Arabidopsis thaliana: one gene and its partner. The protein of the gene in region 2 binds, or shares a complex with, the protein of the main gene of each other region. Each region holds a gene or a part of one and is shown on either strand. Other genes may lie near its edges. The genes, in order: AT1G60900 and U2AF35B.

The links.
Region 1: U2AF35B (region 2) and AT1G60900 share a complex: the UniProt entries of both Arabidopsis thaliana proteins name them as parts of the spliceosome.

What each region holds. Positions count from the first base shown.
Region 1 is NC_003070.9:22,421,943-22,428,577, forward strand, and holds AT1G60900 (U2 snRNP auxilliary factor, large subunit, splicing factor), read left to right. Parts: upstream 1-1,951; 5' UTR 1,952-2,065; coding exon 2,066-2,176; intron 2,177-2,450; coding exon 2,451-2,743; intron 2,744-2,826; coding exon 2,827-2,976; intron 2,977-3,286; coding exon 3,287-3,354; intron 3,355-3,984; coding exon 3,985-4,061; intron 4,062-4,156; coding exon 4,157-4,204; intron 4,205-4,282; coding exon 4,283-4,342; intron 4,343-4,456; coding exon 4,457-4,517; intron 4,518-4,602; coding exon 4,603-4,715; intron 4,716-4,821; coding exon 4,822-5,268; intron 5,269-5,336; coding exon 5,337-5,472; intron 5,473-5,579; coding exon 5,580-5,647; intron 5,648-5,726; coding exon 5,727-5,864; 3' UTR 5,865-6,111; downstream 6,112-6,635. UniProt on the Arabidopsis thaliana protein: Necessary for the splicing of pre-mRNA.
Region 2 is NC_003076.8:17,169,322-17,174,365, forward strand, and holds U2AF35B (Zinc finger C-x8-C-x5-C-x3-H type family protein), read right to left. Parts: upstream 3,467-5,044; 5' UTR 2,937-3,466; coding exon of another isoform or gene 2,643-2,936; 5' UTR 2,259-2,642; intron 1,982-2,258; 5' UTR 1,976-1,981; coding exon 1,124-1,975; 3' UTR 770-1,123; downstream 1-769. Other genes in the region: IPK1 (inositol-pentakisphosphate 2-kinase 1), read left to right, coding at 1-16; AT5G42825 (uncharacterized protein), read left to right, coding at 2,643-2,936. UniProt on the Arabidopsis thaliana protein: Necessary for the splicing of pre-mRNA. Probably active at the 3' splice sites.

The DNA of each region.
Region 1 (6,635 bases), on a different chromosome or scaffold from region 2:
AAGAAATAGGAGTATAAATATAAACGAAACACAAAATAGAACTGTTTAGGAGAATATAAAACTTTTACGTTGTCTCTACCTCTTCAAATTCACCAAATTTATTTTTTAAATAGTTTCCATCACTTGTCAATGTCACATCACCTATCATCTATCTCTCTTTTTCTCCCTCTCGTCCTTTTTCATCACTTTCATCATTCATGCATCTCTGCCCCCATTCTCTATTTTCTTCTATATTTCTCTAGTCAACCAAAAATTTTGCCTTAAGGAAACCAAAAGAGAAATCCAATTGAAAAGGATATTAAAATTAAGGGTAATATTAAAAAGAAAATTTTGGGCCCAACATCAGAACACCATTTTATGACTGTTTCTATTGTCGACTGTTTGACAAACTGAACAAACAATGGCTTTGATTGGTGAACAAAATCAAAGCACTACAATTTCTACAATTTATAAATTTATCAATCAAATATCAAAATTGTTACACTGTTTTTTTACAGTTTTTCTGTACTATTTTTCTTTTTCTTTTTTATACATCATTATGTACCATCTTACCATTATAACTACCAGGTAAAAAACTTGTAAATTTTTATATTATTAATAAGACCCAATATATATATATATATATATATATATATATATATATATAAGTTAGCAATCCAATGGTCTTGCAGTCTTTCATTATTGTAATGATGCTTATTAGGTTTTGTACTAAAATTAATGCTAATCAATTTAGAATTTACATAATAATATTTAGAATCATCTGTTTTTGTAACTATCTTAGTTTTAGAACTAAAAATAAAATAACCCAAAAAAAACTGGTAAGTACTAGTCTCTAATAGCTATGCTTTCTTTCTACAATATTATGGTAGTCAAATTATAAAAATATGGGGATGTTTCGAATCTTTCTACCGTAAAACTGGTTGTGTCCAAACGTATATATTTGGGATACAATAAAATAAAAAATAAGACTATTAAGCCAATGAATCATAATGAGGCCATAATTTTAAACGATTAATGGGCTCCTAAATATCTATCTTCATAATTCACACTCCACATGAATCTATTCCTAGTAACCCTAAGTGTTTTAATAATAGGATCTAGAGATGTTCGAAGATATAATTGCATTTTACTTTTCGTCGTACTTATGACGAAGCAAGCCTTGGACATCTCCGTTTTAAAACAGGGATCTCATGATCTTGAAAAGGATTCTTCAAGAAGCACAGAAAAAGACAAATTCGTATGAATTATTGACTCATATCAAAGTTATTTCATATAAACAAAATCCTATGAATTATTGACACTAGTCAAAACTCAATGAACAGATTGATTGGCCGTGAATGCTACGGTCCATGAAGGGATCGAGTGTGGACCAGTCTCTGCAATATATGTTGTTAGGTTGACTTGTTTTCACTAGAATCGTATGTTTTTCCAATCCATCAGTACGTTTAACTTCAAACCACCGTCAAATGAAAGCTAATTTAAACTTCTTCTTTTTTTGTAATATTTTGTGTCAACAATTGAATTTGATCCATGGTGAGAGAAACCTCTAAACGCCGGAGATATTTGTGATGTTTTAACGTGGTCTTTCATCTTCAATTGCTAGTTACGCCTAGAAACATATGTGACTTTAAACTATCAGATAAAGACTTATAAAACACACTTTTAAAAAGTCATAAACAAAGACATCTAATAATAATCAACCCTTAATTACACAAAAAATAATAATGTAAAACAATATTAGAATGATCAATTTTTAAAATATTTAGTTTTTTTTTTTTTTTGGTGATAGAAACTAAAAATTTAGACTATAAGCCGATAAAGCTGATAAGCCCATTAAGTATAATGAGACCCTAGTTTTCAAATTTGGACTAGACAAGCCCATTTACGGTTTTGGTGTAACACCAAAAAATACTGTTCAATTTACAATAATACCCATATATCACTTCATCTTCCTCGAAGAATCTTCATAATTTTTAATTCATCCTCCATTAGAATCCCTAGGGTTTTCTTCCATACACAATCAGACTCAACGATAAGTACCAATCGGAGAAGAGATCACAAGTGGATGATGAGTTACGAAGGCAACGGAGATGGTGTCGCTATCTCCACCGAAAACCACAACGAGAACTACATATCTCTAGAGAGCTCGCCTTTTCATGAAGACTCCAAGTCTCGAGTATGTTACACTTTCTTCTTTACATATCTTGCGTTCGATTCTGTAGCTTTTAGGTTTCTCTCGTGAATTAGACTGGTAATCATAATTTGTTCTCCACTTGTATTGTAATTTGGTACAATTCTCGGATTCTGCTTGTTGAATTTATGTTTTTGATAGTTTGATTTGAAGGATTCACTGGATTTAGAGTATATATTATCATGTTAAGTTCATATGTTCTCTTTAGAAATCTGGGGATAGTATATGAGAGAAGCCTTTTGACATTTGTTTCCTGCAGGAATCTCATGATCTTAAAAAGGATTCTTCGAAAATCAGTGAGAAAGACAATGAAAATGGACGTGATAAAGACGGAAACAAAGATCGTGATCGTGAGAAGGATCGTGATAGGGAGAAGAGCAGAGACAGAGATAGGGAGAAAAGCAGAGATAGAGATAGGGATAGGGAGAGAAGTAAGGATAGGCAACGAGACCGTCATCATAGAGATCGTCATAGGGACCGTAGCAGAGAACGTAGTGAGAAAAGAGATGATTTGGATGATGATCATCATCGCAGAAGTCGAGACCGTGATAGGTACTCATTAGTGTGTTGCAATTGTTTTTGTAGTTTTAGATTGTTTTATTCTTAAAATTGAAGGTGTAGTCATTTCTCGACAGGAGGAGGTCTCGCGATCGAGACAGAGAGGTGAGACACAGGCGACGGTCACGCTCTCGGTCAAGGAGCCGCTCTGAACGTAGGTCAAGGTCAGAACATAGACATAAGTCTGAACATAGATCACGCTCACGGTCGCGATCAAGGTCAAAGAGGTACCTGGGCTCTCCTGCTATTTTTATCTTTTCTAACTAGTTCTTTCCGTGGCCACATTGCAATGTGTTATGATATTGATGTCAAATCAAATAAAACCATTATTGTTTAGTATTTGATGTCTTTGTTTTGTTGACACAATATGATTATCATGGTCTTCTACTGGGTTGAACGGTCCCTCCTTATATGATTACCAATATTTTAGTCTGATCTGGGTCATTGATGTTTATGTGTGTTTCATACGTTTACTTGGCATTATTTTTTCGAACTCGTCTCTACTGATGTCTAACCAATTATATTTTGCTCTTTCAGCAAGAGGAGAAGTGGATTTGATATGGCGCCTCCTGATATGTTAGCTGCTACTGCTGTTGCTGCAGCAGGTATTTGCTTCATCATCTACTCAGGGTTATTATATTTCTTAACTGCTTGTTGTTTTTGATTTTACGTAGTTTGGAAAGATCATAGTCAATTACACGGTGTGACTTTGGTAAGCTGCAATTTTATTGTTTACTCGTGAACAAAGAGGACTTTGAAGTCTTGCTTTCTTCATAGGATGTCTTGTTATTTTTGTTTGACTGGTGGTTCTGGAACTGAGAAATTTTTTGTTTGTGTTTTTTTGGTGGTGTTTGTTTGTTTCTGTGTCTTGTCTTTTTGTAGTAAGAAGGCTATGTTGGGTTAGTTGCCCCACTGTGCTGACAATGAGCCGACCTCTCTAGCTTTAATTGTACAAGGAGGAATCAGTGCAACGGTTGTCATGGGTATTTTTCATCTTCGACTGGCAACTATATGCCTGTTTTCGAGCCTTACAATCTCTGACAACTAAAACGAATATTACATCACAACTTTTCATTTTAATATTCATAAGTTGTTGGTATACTTTCTACTTGTGGGTTTTGTAAGTAGCAAGGTGTTATCTGTAGCTTTGTACTTGTTGGTAGGTCTGCTCCTCCGGGAAACATAATAATGTATCTAACAAACATTTTTATGACGCATACTACTTTACCTAGCAGGCCAGGTTCCTAGTGTGCCAACTACTGCTACTATTCCAGGGATGTTCTCAAACATGTTTCCAATGGTCCCTGGTCAGGTATAAAAATTTGTATTTTTGTGTCTCTTATGTTCCTCTTTTCTTTTGTTTTATGCGAACATGCTCAGAACTTCTCAATCTTTTTTCTCACATAGCAACTAGGTGCGCTTCCTGTACTGCCAGTTCAGGCAATGACTCAACAGGTACGATCTATCAATCTATCTTATTCTTAGGTTCTTCACCTTTTGTCACGATTCCCTTCCTAAAATATGTAGTCGCAGGCAACTAGGCATGCTCGGCGAGTCTATGTTGGTGGCCTTCCACCAACTGCTAATGAACAGGTTTGTTACTTTTGTTTTGTTTAAGGTTTTGTGACTTTTTGTTTATTATTGTCTATTTAAACCACATTTCAATATCCATTGTATGCCTACTGAGAATGGGTTTTCATGTCCTAGTCGGTGTCAACGTTCTTTAGCCAAGTGATGTCGGCCATTGGGGGAAACACTGCTGGGCCAGGTATTGAAAAGTTCATTATATTTTTGTCATATTGGCCGCAAGTCTATACGAAATCTCATCCTTTTTTTGGATTATTAATTCATAGGTGATGCGGTGGTCAATGTTTATATAAACCACGAAAAGAAGTTTGCTTTTGTAGAGATGAGATCTGTTGAGGAGGCTAGTAACGCAATGGCATTAGACGGCATTATATTAGAGGTGATTTATTAGCTCTTCTACACTTTAGATGTTTGGTGTTTATTAGTTACAATCTGTATTATGAGTATTGAAACCTATCTGAAATCATAGCTTTTTTCATCTCTAGGGAGTTCCTGTAAAGGTGAGGAGGCCAACTGACTATAACCCGTCTCTTGCTGCAACTCTTGGTCCGAGCCAGCCTAATCCCAACCTCAACTTAGGGGCTGTTGGATTGTCTTCAGGGTCTACTGGTGGGCTTGAGGGTCCCGACCGCATTTTTGTGGGCGGACTTCCCTATTACTTCACAGAGGTACAGATCAGGGAGCTCTTGGAGTCTTTTGGGCCCCTAAGAGGTTTCAACTTGGTCAAAGACAGGGAGACTGGAAATTCGAAGGGATATGCATTCTGTGTTTACCAAGATCCGTCAGTAACAGATATTGCATGTGCCGCTCTAAACGGGATTAAGATGGGTGATAAGACACTTACAGTTAGGCGTGCAATCCAGGGTGCAATTCAACCTAAACCCGAGCAAGAAGAAGTCTTACTTTATGCCCAACAACAGATTGCTTTGCAGGTAAAGGATTCTGATTCACTCTATCTAAATGATCAGTAATGCTAAATCTGTCTCAAACTTTGTTGCAGAGGCTTATGTTCCAACCAGGAGGTACTCCCACCAAGATTGTCTGTTTGACTCAAGTGGTTACAGCTGATGATCTTAGAGACGATGAAGAATATGCAGAGATAATGGAGGACATGCGACAAGAAGGTGGAAAATTCGGTAAGCAATTAGATTTTCTTATTGTCTGTTCTGACATTATACCAATAGCACATTACTGAGGCTCATGGTCTAAAATGAACTTTGATAAATCATTGTTGTGTGTGTAGGTAACTTAGTGAATGTTGTGATTCCGAGGCCTAATCCAGATCATGACCCAACACCAGGAGTTGGGAAGGTTAGATTTCAGTCCTCAGATACAAATGTCTACCAAATTCATATATAAATTGCATACTCTAATGGTAATACTAATGCAGGTTTTCTTAGAGTATGCGGATGTGGATGGCTCATCAAAGGCCAGATCGGGGATGAATGGAAGAAAATTTGGAGGAAACCAAGTAGTGGCTGTGTATTACCCCGAAGACAAGTATGCCCAAGGCGACTACGAAGACTGAGCTATCTATCGTCTTCTTCTTAAGCTTTTAGTTTGGATCTCTTAGCAACAAGTTTGGTTCTTTTTTATTTTTAAGTTTTTTACATGTTTAGTTCTCTCTCTACTAAATGGAGAAATTTGTCTAGAATCTGACTGCAATAGTACTTGTCCAGGCACAATCAATTAAGGTGTGTGTTGGTAATAGTAGCTTTTGGTTTCATTGAACACTAACCAAACCACATCAGTTTATATTATTGTTCTTTTAAAAACTAAAAGACCAAACCACATCAGTTTCTAAATGCAATGCTGGAACATGTGCAATTGCTCTCACTAAACGTGAAATACTGGATTTATATTAGAAAAGTAAGATAGTAGGCAAGTAGCACCAGTGGTCTAGTGGTAGAATAGTACCCTGCCACGGTACAGACCCGGGTTCAATTCCCGGCTGGTGCATTTGAGCGTTGATGAAATTTGCTTTAAGCTAAGGTTGGGTCCTTAGCAATTCTCCGATGAATCGGATAATATAGCCTCATATCTGAGCTCATTTGTTTTTTATTTTATTTTACAACGAAAGTTACATGTCATGCTTTCACAAGACACATCTCATGTTACACGAACTTGAAGTTATGCCTGATAACACATTAATTTATAATTTATTAAAATATATATAACAATAATTTGAAGTTAAAAAAAATGAAAGAATTTTAAAATAATTAAAATTTGATAATGTAACAAGTTCCATATCACATCAATAATGTAGATTAGTGATAAATTTTTTTTCATATTTAGTAGA
Region 2 (5,044 bases):
ACCTTCCCACAGCTAAGTCATGTATCGTCTCAATACCACTAGCTCTCTTTTTTTTGGTTACTGTTGTTGTAGAACATAATAAAGAAAGCCCTAAAAGATGAATGTTCATTTCTTAAACTTAAAATTTGTTGGAACTATATCTCCTTCACTCTATATCTCTTTCTCTCCCTGGTCTTCTCTCGGCATGGAGCCGTTGCCTGGAGATATTTTACTGTTCCAGAATGCTCTCTGTCAAGTTTTGCCAGAATTGCTTGTACATACAAAGATGGTGGAGCTTAGCCACTGTTGTTGCTCCTTCTATGGAAAATTTTGTCAGCGGTTTTCCGATATACTGTCTCCCCACTCTCTCACAAAAGATAGTATCTTTGGGGTGGCAGACCCATGGACCGTCCCTCCTCTCCCACTGAATCACAACCATGAGATCTCTTTGGCGGCATACTACAACACAACAAAAAGGATAAGTCATATAATCCCATCTACTTAAGTTTTAGCAAGTGATTGAACCAATTCCTAACATCTTTTGCGACACATTTACTTAATAAAACATTGAAAATGGTTTCCCGTAGCATCATGAACCATGCTCTGATACCACACTTGTAAATAATAACTTTTTGAGTTATCGAGAACAAAATCCATTAAACATGAAAAGTGGACACTAACAATAATAAAACTGACTAGGGCTTGGCATTCGAATACACGCTCCGATACGCTTCGGGTTTTTTGGGTTTAGGCTCATAGCACCCATTCGGGTATTTATAATATTTGGGTTAATATTTGGGTTGGGTTCGGTTTCTTCATTCAATCCACCCAAAAAAATCGTACAACATTTATCTCTTTCCCCGAACAATACAAAGTGTTTAAACCTTATAAGAAGACATTGCAAGGGACAATCATAAAGAACAATAACCAAGGGATCATTACCACATTAACTTAGAAAAACTGAACCCATCATTTGCCTCACGAACTAGTTTCTAAACAAAAATTCTACAAAATACAGTAAACACCTTACATCATCTAAGGAGTTCATGCCACTCATTTTTCAAGTTCAAAAAAAGAACACCAAATGAATATCCATTACAAGATTTTACCGATTTTTATGAAGTAATCAGCCCAAACGATACCCTTAAACTCCCTCATCACGTTCTCGGTTCCATTGCTCAATTCTCGCCCTCCTTTCCTCGCTTCCTTCTCTCACATTTCGTGGGCTTCTGCTCCGTTTCGGGCTTCCATGTCTCCTCCTTCCACCACCATCCCGATCATGCCTCTCTGATCTATCACTGCTCCTTTTCCCATTTCCATGCCGGTCACGGTCCCTAACGTCCCCTCTCTCTCGCTCTCGCGAATGCTCTCTCTTACGTCGAGGGCTTATACTCCTGCTTCGACTTCTGCTTCCCCGACGGTATGAACGACGATACCTCCCAAACAATTTCCTCCTAAGCTCCCTCGAAATCTGCTTCACATGCATGAAATTACAGTACCCACCACGGTTACAGCTGTTTTCTTCATACTGCCTACAAGTAGCTTCCCTAAAATCCGTCACAGGAGAGAAATCAGCAATGATAGGACGACCGGAATAAAATCTCCCCTGCAAAGCCTGCAACGCAGCAGCTGCGTGATCCTCCTCCTTAAACAGAACATACACATTCCCAATCATATGATCAGCAAGATTGTCACAAACATTGAGACTCTCCACTTCACCAAACTTGTTGAGTTCTTCGAAAATATCTTCGTAGAAATCCTCAAAGTGGTCTTGGATCTTACTCGGGTCTAACGGCTGTCCCTGAGGATCCACACCTGGAGTTATCATGTCAGGTCTCTGGTACATGTTCGAGAGGAGAAGCGTCGGCGAGATGGTGGGACGGTTATGAAGCCGTGAGCACCGGTCACCGTGACGACAAGCACCAATCTTAAAGTAAAACGGACAATTCACTCTATCCTTTTCAGTACCAAAGATTGAAGCTAAATGCTCTGCCATTCTCACCTAAACATAACAAAAATCAAATTCAACTAAACACAAATTGTTCTTCTACGCTTATATGATAAATCAAATCACTACAAGAACGATTCAGAATCAGAGACGAGAACCAAATCTAAGCTTATAAACGAGAGTTAACACAAAATCAAAGAGAATCAAATCAATGAACGAATCAGAATCATGAATCGTTGTCAAATCTAAAACAGATCGAGACGTTTCTAGTCATCGAGTGGAGATGAGAATCCGAAACGGAGAGAGAGATTGATTAGAGGAAGAAGAATACCGAAGAGGATTTTCTTTTAGTGGAAGAGAAGCTATCGCCGACGAGGAGGTGCCGTTGCCGATCACGATCTAGGGTTTAGGTTTATTTGATTAGCGACTCGTGTGAGCCGGAGAGAGAGAGAGAGTGTGGTGAAAAAAAGAGAAAGAGATATTAATATGGGTTTATTTTGCAAATAAACTATTCTACAAGGAGGAATAATAAAATAAACTATAGAAAGTTACAATATTGGTCCTCGTCAAAATCGTCATAACATAACGAGGATTTTAAGATTGATCCTTTTGTTGCTCCGGCTCAGAACCGAATAAACCAAACTAAACTGAACTGGATTGGAAGGAAACGAACAGAACTAGATAATTAATATCTGAATGATTTTTTTAAAAAAATATGGGAATAAAAAGAGCTAAAGCTTCTCTCTCTCTTCTCTCTCACAAAACCTTCAGAGAGGGAAAGCTTTTTGTCTCCACCTACAAGAATTTTCCGATGATAGCCGTTCCAAATAATTTGGGCTTTTGCCCGGTATCTTCTAGCTCTTTTAGTGGAGATGACCGGTTCCCGTACGGCAAATCCTGCTTTCATAAGAGGTTTTGGCCGCTTGTATCCTTGCTCGTAGTCAATCAGTTTTATGCTGATTGCTTTGATATTTTAGTTTTGTTTTTCAATAAATCTCAACAGATTTGAGATGGTAATTAGTTTTAGGTGCTAGTTACTTAAGATTAATTTCTGTCTTGTGTCTTTAGAAACTTCGATTTGCAGAAATCTATCAAGCGATTATGTCTTCGGGTTGAAAGATTGAAGAATATTCCGATGCTTATTATGATTCCTTTTTGCTGTGTCTTTTAAATGGAGCACCGTTCAGTTTTATTTCGGTGGTTACAAGGATTCATTGTGCGATGTTTCGGCGATGCATTCCTCACCGGATTCGGTGTTCATCGGCGGCGAAGGTTGATGTCGGTACACTTCCGATGACTCTTCATCTTGTGTTGCAGTTGTAATATCACGTGGACACGTGTATTGGATAGAGTCCAAATGTCAAAACATCTTTATGCCGTAGATGTTAATCTTATGGGCTATGTTGGGCCTAACTTTTCTTTCTGCACATATCGTTGTAAGCTTTAATGCTTTGTTTCCTCTTTTGGTGGTTAATATAATACACTTATGAGAAGAAAAAAAAAAAATATGGGAATAAAATTAAAAATAAATTAAAAATCTAGTGAATGTCAGACTTATCTGAAATACAATTATATATCTAAAATGTTATTCTTAATTATATTTCAAATAATCAAGATAGCCAAATTTATAATTTATAATTTAAAGATATTAGTTATGTTTACACTCAAAATAACCAAACTATCTGAAATAACTGAAATATCTGAATGTTTTTAGAATACTTGAAATATTTAACCAAATTATATTTGTCAAATTAAATACTTGAATACAATCTCCAAATAATTGAATACTTAAATACAATTTTCAAATGAGGTTTTTTTTTATATGAAATGTTAAATTTATTTGATCAATGGTAAAATGAGGTTATTTACAAAATGAGTAAAATAAAAAATGGAAAATCTATGAAATTCTGTTTGAACAAAATAGTTAGAGAGTCATTAATTTTAACCTCCACATGTTCAGGATGCCCTCTAACAGCAGCTTTCATTGGTAAAGAAAGTATTGCTCATTTAAGGTTCTTACGAGTATGTTGTTAAACATTTTTGTTTCGTACATATCCCTAGACTTAAATTTAGGTGATCAATCTACTTTTAACATTAAAAAACCTAGATGTAAAATCAAATAAGTATCCGTGGTTAAATATATTTACCCGATCATTCCATAAGTTTTTATCGAACCCTTAAATTCAATAATGTAACTAGTGACACATACCAAAAAACGGTCACACAAGATCTTATAAATTTAAGAGATATTATTAGAATAAGTAAAATTTATACGAAAAGTGAAAATAGATATTTAAAAATTAAATCATATGAGAACTAATACGCAATTGCACCATTAAACCATTCTTCTTAATTTTGAAAGTCATTTTCCTCGATGTATACTTAACTAAGTGTTTTATTTTCTCCCTCTTAGTATGTGTATATATATAGTACGGTGTTGTCATCTTCATCGATCAACTTCAATAATAAATTTTAGTACATCCTTAGCTAAACCAGTACTATACCAAAATTCAAGAGTCAATTTTTTTGCTTTTTTAAATAGAAGAAAATTTTATATATTTCTTTGTTTACATGAATAATTTCTAACAATCCCATTAACTTTGACTAGTAAGAATTAATTTGAATAATAATAGTATATATACATATATATATAAATATATATTTGTTTGTTTACGTGAATAATTTCTAACAATCCCATTAACTTTGACTAGTAAGAATTAATTTGAAAAACAATAATATATATATATTAAAAGTTATACTAAAACTTTTAATATTTGTAGGAATGCCCTACAGATATAAAACATTTATGCCCTTTATTTGTTTTTTGCATAATCAAAAAATTAATAGTATATAAAAGTTATACTAAAACTTTATAGATTTTTTTTTTTGAACTTTATAAGCATTTTGTAAGCAAAAAAATAGGAAAAAAAAACAAAATTATATTTTTTAAATATACCTCTATTTAGATTTTTACCTCCAAAACCATTCATCAAATTCACGTAATCGAGTTTTTCAAACATAATTGTCTTAATGGATAGCAAAGCCAACTCATTTATTTGATTAATAAAAACAAAGTTTTTATTTTGTAATCAAAGTTCAAGCACCTTACATTAGAAA